Linked DNA regions of Drosophila melanogaster. Changing the gene in region 2 together with the main gene of any one other region gives a genetic interaction. Each region holds a gene or a part of one and is shown on either strand. Other genes may lie near its edges. The genes, in order: sea and ATPCL.

The links.
Region 1: of ATPCL (region 2) and sea, changing one enhances a phenotype caused by changing the other (phenotypic enhancement), as found in Drosophila melanogaster (one study listed by BioGRID).

The regions. Positions count from the first base shown.
Region 1 is NT_033777.3:11,560,825-11,568,667, forward strand, and holds the start of sea (scheggia), read right to left. Parts: upstream 6,231-7,843; 5' UTR 6,164-6,230; coding exon of another isoform or gene 6,094-6,163; intron 4,288-6,093; exon of another isoform or gene 3,991-4,287; coding exon of another isoform or gene 3,960-3,990; intron 3,888-3,959; coding exon of another isoform or gene 3,616-3,887; intron 3,548-3,615; coding exon of another isoform or gene 3,497-3,547; exon of another isoform or gene 3,234-3,496; intron 2,469-3,233; exon of another isoform or gene 2,276-2,468; intron 1,473-2,275; exon of another isoform or gene 1,377-1,472; intron 382-1,376; coding exon of another isoform or gene 354-381; coding exon 28-353; intron 1-27. Other genes in the region: fabp (fatty acid binding protein), read right to left, coding at 250-381, 3,616-3,887, 6,094-6,163.
Region 2 is NT_033778.4:15,998,087-16,003,261, forward strand, and holds the start of ATPCL (ATP citrate lyase), read right to left. Parts: upstream 3,205-5,175; 5' UTR 3,102-3,204; exon of another isoform or gene 3,095-3,101; intron 2,202-3,094; exon of another isoform or gene 2,009-2,201; intron 1,885-2,008; 5' UTR 1,878-1,884; coding exon 1,719-1,877; intron 167-1,718; coding exon 1-166. Other genes in the region: Tmem131 (transmembrane protein 131), read left to right, coding at 3,846-4,412, 4,466-5,175.

The DNA.
Region 1 (7,843 bases), on a different chromosome or scaffold from region 2:
ACTATAACCAAAAGTTATATAACTTACCTCGCCGCTGACTTAGGAATGCTGCCGTAGACGAGCACACTGAGACCTCGGTAGAGACCCAGGAATCCACGTTCTCCCACCGTCTTCTTAACGCAATCAAAGATGCCGTTGTACTTCTTCGCCGCTCCCTTCTCGTCCAGCTGCAGTTGTGTCTTCACATACTCGGTGGGATAGGTGATGCAGATCTCGATGCCGCCCGTAATACCGCCGGCGACGATGCCCTTAAGGCCCACCTGGCCGCTGTCCGCAGCCGCCGCTCCGTGCTCCGTCATCCACGGACGTCGGCGGTACGGGCTGACAAGGGACGCGAAGGCGGAGCGATCCATGCTGACTGGGTGTTAGGTGGGGAATTAGCTGAAAGAAAATAGTAGAATTCATTTATTGTACTGAGTGAATTCCAGCTGATTTCTGTCCGATTGAATGTTATTTATATCCTATTGTTGTAAATGGATCAAAATAGACTCGTTCTGCGTGGGTGCGCGGATTTCAAAATATTCCCCAAAACTTGTATGAAAATATGGCATTTGTTCTTCATAGATAATGATATCTGAAGTATTCCTTATCATCTATTTAAACAATTTAACTATATCTGTGACGTACAATCGTGAACCGCGTATCTATGCGAATATCGACCTTAATTATCGTATTAAATGTTTGTTTAATTGCAGTTCTGCTCTACTAGTTATGCAATTTCTATGAGGAAAAGAATTCCACTTGGCTGGAATGGCTCCAGCGGGCTCCAATTTAAAGTTAGTAATCAATGCCATTATCATAGGTAACTTCCCATTGTATCGTTGACTCTCTTTTCCCCCAAAACATATTCATTTCACCTTGGGGACAAGGTTCGAAAACTGTGAACGAAGAGTCGACAAACTAACACAAACAGAGCGAAAAACCAAATGTTCGAAAATCTCAATAGTGATTACTTAAGATCGGGTGATATAGTCTGGGACGGTTTGAGTGGGAGCGGTACTATATCAATATCAGCAGGCTCGTTGGTTGTTTCGCTCTTTGCACTTGACAAATTAATATTGTTTCAGTGCGATTACATAACTTTTGCATGACCATAAATTATAATCGCACACAGTTGCAAGTTCATAATTATTCATTTTATGCCGCTGTTTAAGCCAATTTCCGTATCGGTCTGGAAATCTGGATAAACATAAACAATACCCACTGATAAGTCGGCACTGGAAAGTTTCTACCGACTTCCACACACACACACAGACTTCAAAAGCGGTTGATTAAGCCCACACCCACACACTCAAAGCGCACTGCTGTCTGGCAAAAGTCGCGCTTAATTTTTGCTCATGCAGCTTTGCTATCGGGTATTGTTCTCTACTACTCACATTAGAATTCAAAAAACCGAAATAATTATAATTTTGGAAAGCCCAGGCAGCGGTGAAGTGAAGTGGCGATGGGGACAGCGGTTGAATCTCAACTGATCGGGGCTACGAAAAAATTCCATTTTCCAATCGACGAGCGAAAGCGATACAGTGCATCCCGGAACTAACGGACTTTGGATTTTCAGATCCAACAGTCAGCAGTCCGAACAACTCTATCCCAATAGATTTAAAATGGTAGATTCTTCTAAATATCAAACTTTTTGTAAAATAAATTGAATCGATAGACTGAGCACGCTATTCTCTATAGTTCACTGCATCAGGGGCGCACTGTAATTCCAATGGTCGGCGTTTTGTAAACAACAGCACTTCAGCGGTATCCACTCTCCCCGCGCTCAGTAATGTACACAGTAAAATATTTCTATTTTGAAAATCAATCAGAAATTGAAAATAAAAGAAATGATACGTGGATCTATCTAGTAAACGATCCTAAACGAGTAACATACACATACATCAGTTCGATCCTAATAATGGAATATTAAGTTTCTAAAGATTGATTCCACATTGATAAAGGTATTTTGATAGCTATATAAGTGCGTTTCGATTACTTTATGGAGAACTTTTTTCTGTGCAGAGAGTGCGAAGAGTAGCGCCAAAGTAACGTTTTTTTGCTGACACCGCAGTGAAGATCTCTCTTTCTCTCTCTAATCGGAAACCCGTTTGTCCAGCAACAACAAAGTGGACAGAGCTTTTGGGGCGGACTGGAAAAGCTCCGCTGAAGAACAACAAGAAGAACATTTGACTTTAAATTTTGAATGTTAGGTACGCCGCAAAGTAGACCAACATTTTTTCTTTAGCGATTACACAATGAGTTCACACACACACAATGCGCGTAGCCTACGCACACCCACGCGGTAGTTTTATCCAGGTTATCAGAGCATTTAGTGCTACACTAATAAAATCGATAACGGCGCTTTTGCTTTTTAATTTATAACGCCCAATTGACCAACAATTAAGTGTCTACTATTTACCGACTGACGCAACTCGGCGTCATGCGGATACACGTAGTTCTAACGCCGCCGGCAAACGACGAATGTTAACAAAAAAAACCCGGCGAAAGTGTGGCCGTGCTGCCAACTGTCCGCTGATAACGTGTGCGCTTGCGCCAGCCCCCAAATGCAGCAGATGCCACCCACCCACACTTGTGGCACGCACTTGCAACAGACCCCATTCACACGAACAGTGCAAAAGCCCCAGCAGCATTGTGTTTTATACTCAATTAGCAAGAGCAAATGCATCGCAACGGAAACGGAAACGCGTGGGCAGAACATCCGCAGCCCAAAAGCAAATCAGAGACCATTCAGACTTGTGCCTCTTCTCTTTATACATACAACTTCAATAAACGATACAATAAGAAACGATAGTAAGAAACATGCTTTCTATAACCCCAAAGGTGGAATTTCTTTTAACAGTTTGAAATTTGAAACTTTATAATTCATATCGATTCAAAAATATGACCTCCAATTGAAAATGTAATTGAATTTGGTATTCTCGATCCCTTTAGCCATTGAAAATATGACACCCTACGAATTTCGGGATCCTTAACGATAACTTTCAAGCCAAACTAAAATATCTGGCATTGTTCGCCTCACAAACAAGCCACTTAAAAATTCTTTTTTAGGTAGGAACTAAAATTATTTCGATGAAAACACGTTACTTGCTTACTCACAAAACCGTAAATTTGGGAAATAGTTGGAAAAATGCCAAAATATAAATTTATAACTAAAACTAATATAATTTTGATTGCTGTGTCTAAGCTTACATTTCGTCATTAACCTAAGCAACAACAAGCTTAAAAGCGAAGTGTAAAAGAAAGTCGGAATGTTTTAAAAGCACTTCAAGTAATAGTTTATTCAAATGCATTCGGAAATTGGTCCCCGAGTACGAGGAGTATTCCCACATACACCGACTGCGGGTGTACGGGTGCGATTATAAATTAACATTGGGCAGAGCGTGCAGTTCCATTTGATTTGGTTTAGTTCACTGTTAGTCAACAAGAATATTGGCTATCTGAGTTAGTTTTAATGCATGTAGTCGTATGGATATTATAGTTTTAGATCAGTCTCTTAGACGGCCTTGTAGACGCGCACGCACTTAACGTTGCCGATGGTGAGGGTCTGTGGGGGAGGCATTGGATCAGTTAGGTGGGTGTGATGATATACGGCAAGGTATAGTAAGCGCTTACGGTGATCAGCTCGTTGTCGGTGAACTCGCGGACGATGGTGGTGGGCTTGTCGCCCTTCTGCTCCTGCGTCAGCTTGTTGCCATCCAGGGTGATGATGCTCTTGACGTTGCGACCGTCCAGGGTCTCCTCGTCGAACTCAACGCCCAGCTTGAAGCTGATGGCAGAGGTCTTGAAGGTGGAGGTGGTAGTCAGGGTGTAGGTATCGCCCTCCAAGGTCACCTCCACTGTGGGGCTCAGGCTGTTGCCCATCTTGCGCGTCACCAGACCGACGCCTGCAAGTGGAAAGGGAAAAGAAATTAATGAAGTTCCATCTCACGAGAATGTAAGGAAATCAAAGATCGCACCGAAAGATGAATGATGGGGCAGACTGCACATAATTGAATTAGCCCAACAAAGTTGGGGACCCCAAAGCGCTCACAATGCAAATCATATCATATTTAATTAAAAATAATAAAGCCGAGCCATGAAGTTCCCTGCAGATTCCGTTCCGCTGTAACGTCAAAAGTCGTGCTCAAGGTTAACGAACAATGCGGGCCGTCGTCTCCTCCCTCATCCTCATCTCCGCTCTTATCAATTGGCAAGCCCCTCCATGCATTTAAATATAGATCTGGCAAAGCACCACCTTATCTCGGTGCAGCATTCCATATATACATATGTTGTTTGAGGGCAGAACTGTGAATATAAATGCCATTCAAGCAGTGTAAATATATATTTTACTGGCTTAAGTGGTCAAGATCCATTTTGCTGACGTTCCAAATCGTAAACCTTTGAAGTGCTGATAATTACCATCGAAAGATAAGCAAAGCAATTCCATCATTAAATGATAACTTAACGATTGTGAACAATCAATCGTGTTTAAGTACTAAAATTTGTCACTTAATTTTATGGGACTTGTAATTACTGAAATACTATATGCATGCACGTAGCTGTATGAGTAATTTTGCATTTATATTTTTATTTGAAAGAAGTTTCGCCAAATGAAACGTTGAATCAAAAACAAAGTGTGAATCACTGGTACCTTACGAATGTGCCAGCAAATAGGGCACATGTATTATTTCCAATCTAGTACATTGTCAGACATCAAACCAACAAGTGGTCCAATCAATTATGTTCAATTATGTATGGACCACCACCAACTTGTTCTTTTGTCCAGTGCCCTCAAGTCAAGTGTCAACTGGCGTGGCGCGATAAGTCGCCAGGTTCCCACTCATGGGAACCCAGCAACTGTACCAGAGATCGATTTATATGCATCGTATATGACAGGAGAACCTTGAATAGATTAGACTGGCCTGCAATTGCGAACCGTGGTCTATGATAGGGGTGGCTGCCCAAAGTGCAAAATCCGTAATCGCGCCTAATTATCGTGCCTTTTGCGACATTGTATATACTACAAATGTGTGTACATAAATAGGCATATAGTTTATCGCATTTATATATGTACGACAACTGATAAGTGCTGCGAGGCCCCAACGGCAGGTTGATTTTAGATTTGTTTGGGCTTGAAAATTGAGAAGTACGTGGCTTTCGGACCAAGTCTACCATTAAACCGAAGCCGCAAAGTGTGTAGGCGAAAAGTTCTGACGAACTGGTGGTCTGGTAAATAAATCTGGACGCCCGTCTCTGGTTACCAAATGCCACTAGTCCCTATGGCGCGTCTAGACAGGAAGCGATGGTATTGATCAGTTTTAGTGGCACCATATAGTATAATCACGATTGCAATAGAAATTGCACTTTGATCGGTAAGAGAGTCGAATGTGTCCTATATGTAGTTTATATCTGGTGTTTCATTGTTGTCTAAATTGACAGCCGGGCAAAGATCATCGCAGCTATAAAGCTTGTAGTCTAGTGCAAAGTTCACTGCGAGACTTTCTCCCAAAATCTAGTACACAAATAGATAAAACCTGTCGCAAAAGCTAATGGCACTATGATGATTTCGGTCCCATGGAAAGCTGACGGAGGTGACTCAAAAAAGGGGAGCAAAGTTCAGGCCCCACACTTAATTAGTTTTTGGGTTTATGACTACCGCAGATAACCATTTACGGATTTTATACTGCTTGTCCTCCGATTCGCAACTGTAAAGTTGAGAAAGAGGGTGAGGTGAATAACTGGAGCACGTTTTTATTGCTGCAGATGTGCATCTCTTTCTCTGGTCCTATTCTCTATTGATTTTATCTGACACACACATACGCACATCAGCAGATTCAATGAGGTGTCAATTTATGCATGTAGCTAAACTATTTTAACAGTCGAATTCATTCATAATCTTCAGTTGATATAACATTTTCCGGAAGACATTTACTTTTTTCCCTCTCGTTTGGCCAATGAAACTTTTTGCACACTAGTGCGAAAAATGCCGGCCGGTCGATTTTCGGTGGCGTGTTTTCGGCTTCTTTTCTCTCCCTCCACTCCCGCTCTCGCTCTCTCGAGCACTTTGGTTTTCTATTTTTGATGCACTGCGAATTAGTTTTGGCAACTTACCCAGCTCCTTCATGTACTCATCGAAGTTCTCGGACTTGTCCAGCTTGTACTTCTTGCCAACGAAAGACATTTTTGGAATATTTGGTCTGTGTTCTGCACAAGATGTTCACTGTTGAAATTTTCTGAGCGAATGAAAAGCTCTGCGGCGTGCCGGCTGTTATATACTTTCGCGTTGCGGCTACGGCATTGCCAGATGCAAGTTAATGGCCTCTCGCTCTCATTTGATTCGCTCTCGTTCTGCGGCACGGCTTTTGCACGTTTCCTTTTTGTTTGTCTCACAAATTAAAAATTTAATGATGTGGCATCGGCTGAGCATCGGATTACCAGATGCAAAGCCAAGTACAGCCGCCAAGGTATCGAAATGTCGGCGCCAAGCCGTTGGCGCTCTTACAAAAAGCAGCTTTTTTAGGCGCTCTCCAAAAAAAATATTAACGGTTCTATGGGGGCCACCACTCCCCCTCACACCGCATATTGGTAATGGATCGGACGTGTTACTGCCACCCAACGTCTGACCAGCTCCTCCTGCTCCTCCCAGCACCCAAGCACCTTCACCTTGGCGCGATCAATTGGCTGCAGCCTTAATTGGTTCAAAAGCACCGGCCTAATAACGAACGCCACATTGTCATGCTGACAATGGAACTGCAATGTATCTCGCATTATACAGTCAAAACTTGCCTATTTTGGCGCGAACTTTAAACTTTTCTCCGAATTTCAGATTACGCATTGGGAAACCCAATGTGTGCAAGTAAGGAAGGGGAATTTATTTGAAACCCAGACTATCTCACTTTGTAGTACAAAATTATTATTAATATAATATCAAGATTTAAAATTTTAACATACATACACACGTATATTTTATTTAAAAGGATATCCGTTATCCAGGTTTCTGAGTCTCGACTGTTCGCCCCCCATATATTCCGAATTAGTAGACTTTTTTCTGTGGGTCAGTGGCACCATTAAAAGAATCTCCCGAGCTTCTACATTTTACCAATGTGTATAAATAATTTTCGACACAATTCGTTTATATTATTGTTATGAATAACTCTTGATAAGTCGCCGGTGAATTGTAATCTAATCGAGGACTTCCTTCCACCCATGGTCAGGCAATGCAATATTGAGATTACCCACGATCTCCATAAGCCTGCCCATCCCGTGGGAGGGCCCACCTACATGGATACCGACTTGTTTGTTGCTAAGCGTTATCTTATTAATTCAATTAGTCCATGATCCCGCACCCCCCTCACCGATCATCCTTATTATTGCATTGATCGTCATAAATAAAAGAGATTACGGGGGTTTGCCACGAAACATACTTATGTACATAATATGTACTACATATATTATTTATGTATACCAATAATAAGTAACGTCTTGATCAATACAAAATATGATATACTCTCAGTATATCTTTATATATATACTTCTTAATGTGTATTATTTACTGGAGTGGAAGAGCCAGTCGAGCTTTTTTAGTTTCGCCAGTGACTTGAATTTGACCGACGAGATGTGGGCCCTCCAGGTCAGTCCCCGATTTAGATGAACTCCTAGGTAGCAGTGCGATGTGACATTGTTTCCATCAAAAGTCAGATCTGTGCAAGTTCCGGGCCGCAGGGTAAAAGTTACACAGGCTGACTTCGAGGAGTTAATGGCCACATTCCATTTGGCAGTCCATTTTTCGACTGCATGCAGCCATTCCTGGACTGCGTTGAAGAAACATGCATTTAGTCATTCGGAAACTTTAAAGCCCGAA
Region 2 (5,175 bases):
GTTCGATGATAAAGTTCCTGAGCTTTCCCACGGCATTTCCGATCTTCTGGTCCTTGTTGAGGCGCTCGCCAATCCACTGCTTCACCTGCTCAAAGTTCTTCTTGACGCCAATTAGTCCCAGCTTTCCACGGCGCTTGATAAGTTGATCGGGCTTGCACACCAGCGGCTGCAACAAAGGAAAGGACGGGGCTAATTAAATGTATGCTAAATATAAATGAAATAAGCGACAAATCGTTGAACTTGTGCCTTCTGATCTCGGCGCGTCAGTAAAAAAGCCGGTTCCAACGATCAGCATCTGTCGAAAAGATCAGCCGATAACATCAGGGGTCGTTCCCGCGTCATTGCCAATGACAATGCCAGTGCTCGTACCCTTACCCGAACTTGTACTTGTGCCCACACAAAAACACATCTCATATGCTTATTAGAAGATCGTACGAGTGTAAATTGAGCAAACAGTCCGACTACGAAATATCATCCGAGATGTCCGTCAGGCGATTCACTTTGTCGTGTAATTAAAGCCGAAAGAACTCCCATTATGCTCACTAAATTTCGGATCTATCTTAATTGCATATAAAATTACGAGATCAAAATATTAAACTAATAGCTCTAAGTGAAACTATTTAAAGGGAGTTGTATTGTGTTTGATTGTTTGCTTCTCCCCCTTCAGTGGGGTAAACATCATTATCAGTAACGTAATAAAAGTATTATGCACTTCAAACGAAAACGTGACAACAAGACAATAAGTCTATTAAATCAGAAAGTTAATACCTTCTATCTGCATGTCATAAATTAAAACACCTTCCTGATAATCAGAGTTTCACAATCCTGCCTTTAGATTACTAAGACTAAGTATAGGGACGCTCCCTCTAGAGTCAACAAACAACTTATAGATAAGTTTTAACTGATCACATTTCAATAGAATATATTATTTTGCGAAAATTGTTTGAAAGATAGTAGAGTAGTTCCCTGAATCCCCCACTCGACTCAGCGACACTTCGCCACTTTAAAATCTCCGGCATATTTGAATTGAAATTATTCTTTAGAAATTCAGGCGGCGCAACAATGCTAGGTAAGGTCAATAAATTGAGACGCTCCAAAATCAACAAATAACTTGATGATAAGATTTCGAACATATGGATTTCGGTGATAAAGGTTTTCTAAAACAAACACGGAACATGTTAGCTTCCCCTTATTTCCCACTCAACCGTTATAAGTGCTCAAGATAAGTACTTGGCTACAGCCAAACTTTCCACTATCGATCGGAAGGTCAATCAGAGATAGCTGCGTGATCGTGAATCCCAATCTCCACGCACGCTTATCGTGTTCGCAAATGAGGTGAGCCTGATCCGCCGGCGGATAACCAAAGGGGCCAAGACCACGCCATGCCACGCGACCTACGACTGGGTCCCCGGCAATCTGATAAAAACCAGAGTGCGCCATGGGGTGAGCTGTCGGTCTGCGCCCGCGTCCGTCCGTCTACTCCGCAATTTCCAGCGATCAACTCGCGCGACCGACTGGCGCCCAATTCGCTCTTATCAGGAGCCGCGCTTAGTCATTCGGCATCGGCGTGGTGGTCGAAGCGTCCACCACGAGGTCAAGTTCAATGACAATCCCGCCGAGCGTTTGTTGTCGCTGGCCCAATTGTTGTTCCTACATATCGGCTGATTCGCAATCGTCGAGTTCCGCGAGTTTCGCGGCTATTTTTAACTGGCACTCACCGTGGTCAGCAGCCAGGGATGGTCAACGGCGAGCTTGGACCAATCTGTCGTGGAATTTACTGTGGAAAAACGGCAAGTGGCCGCGCCGGCGCCATGGGTGTTGAGATGGCGGTTCAGGATGTCCTTGCCGGAGGCCTCGGTGATTGCTTTCGCCGACATGATGAAGCTACAGAATATACAAAAAAACAAAAAAACAAAAATACAAAAATATATAAAAACAAATCAATTAAGATTTAATATAGCCTTCTTTCAAATACAAATAAAGGAGGGTCTCGTGTGTTCGCGCGTACCGTTTGACTTTGTCTGTACTTTCAAACTTTGATTTATTTACTTAGAATTGATTAGAGCACGACTGTGTGCAGGTGCAATAGGTTTCGAGTAAGTTTCAAAGTGTGCGTGCTGGGCGGCTTCAGCTTTGGGTAGCTACAGGCTGGGCAGCTAGCTAATCAACCTGCACGTCGTCGGGTCTGGAAGTAAACTGAAATCGAATGCGCGACAGCACCATCCATGAAAATGAGCCAGCAACAGGCGTATTCTGATTTCGATTTCGTGGCGCTGCCTCGGCTTTCAAGCTTCGCGACTCCAACGGCTTCGGGTCTTTAGAATTTTCGGCTTATGTGTTGATATGTACATGGCTCTCGCTCAACCAGATGGTTGTTTCCCAGAGATTAGGTCTGCAACGGGATCTGGCCCTGGACCATTACCATTGCGTTGGGTGTGGGGAAGCACCTTTTGTAGAACCGGTTATCAACATATCATTGCAGCTTGGATATCAAGCCCAGTTAGTCAAGTCAGTGGGTCACTTTGGCTGAGGGCCGAACTTTCTCCCAAAAATACATGAACAGCCAATGGCTAGCAAATCGGAAATGGCATGGAATCTAATTCGATGAAGAGCGCACATTGAAGGGGGCTGATGACTTTGCAAGTACACACGATCTAATTTACATCTGGAAACGAAGTTCACGCCTAGCCGATGCGTATGCAAATTGGCTGCCCTGCTGGTGAAACTAAAAAAAACTAAATGCGAAACCGAAACCGAAGCCCAAACTAAAAATGTTGTAAGCGGTGAAAGTGGGCAAAATCAATAGGGCTGTTGCATCACCGTTCGTGGGTCAAATAGCTGTTAATCTTCGCCTTCAGTAATTATTGCAAAATGCTTGCTGATTTTCGCATTAATATTTCTGCAATATTCAGCGAATATGTGATTATAGTGTGTGTGTGTGTGTGTGTGTGTGTGTGTGTGTGTGAGTGTAAGTGCGTGGAGCAAGCCGAACGATCTGTGCGAAATTTCATTTGGTCATGTTTTCCTTTGTACTCGTCACTATTCAATGAAATTGTGGGTGTATATACGCGGGTATATTAACGGGCGACGAGAGCACTCACTTTAGTTAAATCAGCTTCACGACCTGCGATTAATTTTAACACGTAAACTAAACTGCAACTTTCTTTCGGTTGTCGTTTCTTTAGCTAGCGATGGCCAAGTTTCGATAGCTCTTTCACTGTTTTCCCTCGAATACATGGCGATACATTTTGTTATTAATTTTTTTCGAGCATACTTTTTGGCGCGTTTTAAAATACTGCGCAACAGTATGTAATATTATATACAGTATTAACTGTATGCGCTAGGCTCTATAATATTAATAGCATTTATAGTAAACAAATTAAATATATATTTTTTTATATATATTTAATAATATATAAATATTTCATTATTTTAATAATCTGCTACAATACAATGTTAAATTTAATCGCATGCCATTGAACGCTTAAATTATACTACCAGCAAGAAATCAACTAAACATAAGCCCATATATCAAGCAATTTATGTAGCCACCTGATGCGCCTTAAAAAAGGATTCTGTGCTTTAATGGTATATTTTTAAAATGATCATATGATTAGTATTTCCCTGTGCCGGATGGTATGTTTTATGTATTCCACGGCGGTCACACCGAAAAGCGATAATAATTTTTGGCCAGCGATATTGGATAATATAAATAAAGCGCAACGCCAAGGAAACTCCAATTTAGATTAGCAGCTGGACAGAAAGTCGGTTACCAGGAGCTGCGCCATCGCCGCCCACACGAACACACACACACACAGCATCCCAGGATCAAGGGAACGCACGCCATGCCCACACAAGTCCAGATGAGGCCGCTTTTGCGAATATTCGCAGAACCCATCCTGCTCATCCTAATCTTCCTTTTCACTTTGGGCGCCAAAGGTGAAAAGGTCCTGCAGGAGACTTTCCTGGGGCTGCAGGAGGCACCAATCCACGATTTGGGGGACCTTCGGCTTGTGCCGTCCCGTCTAGACTTTGGAACGTGGTCCGTCGGCCAGGCGCGTTCTCAGACGGTGACACTATTCAATCAACACTCCAATCGAACGCTCCAGCTGAACGCGGTGGCCGGACCAAGTCCGGCGTTCTACAGCAGCTTCCTGGGCACGAGAGAGGTGCCGCCGCAAGGCAATACAACTTTCAACGTGGTGTTCCTACCGCGCCAACTAGGCGCCATTGCCGCCGACCTTCTCATTCACACCTCCTTCGGCCAGGCCGAGTTGGCGGTACAGGGCGAGGGCAGTGAGTGCCCGTACCGCCTAAAGCCGTTGGTGGGCATTAAGGCGCCCATGAATGCGACACTCACGCCAGAGATTCACATGTACAACCCGCACGAGCGGCCGCTGCAGATACTTGAGGTAGGTTTTAATCAACACTCTGTAGGTATATTACCCATAACCATGTCTTTTAGATATACAGCAGCGGCGGCGAGTTTCAGTTAGAGTTGCCCAGCGGTGGCTCGGAGGGCCCACAAAATCTGTGGAAAATTCCTCCACACACTTTAAAGCCGGTCATTAGGATATCATTTCACGGCCGCACAGCTGGCAATCACAGCGCCTACATACGCATCAAGGTCGCAGAGCAGGAACTGGATATTTTTATTCCTGTCGAATTTGAGATTCTGCCACGACATTCTGTGTACGCCCGCAATCCACTGGCGGACTTTGGCCGTGTGGCCACTTTAAATGCTCCGGATGCACTACAGTTCAAGCTGGACGTTCGGAACGACGAGAGTCGCCAACTCTTCGGCAGTTACCTTCGCCAGATTCCGGGTCTCTCGTTTGACGCAAACAACACAAGTATAGTGTTGGATGCCAGCCTATTCGAAGGCGATGAGATCATTAATGATCTGCTGGTGATCAACAGTAACCAGTCCAGTACCAGTCCTGGTGCGGATCAGCCGTTTACAGTGCTGGTGCGAGCGGAAATCTTCCATGGAGGGCTCACCTTCGACAGAAATGCCACCAGATTTGTGACCACCTCGCCAGAAGGCGTCGAGGGTGAACCGCTGGAAAGAAAACGATCGCTGGTGGTGCGGAACAAGTTCGCAATACCCCTAATGCTCTTTAACGTAAGTCTCACAGAGCCCATTGATGAATCCATATTGGAAGTAACCCTCGT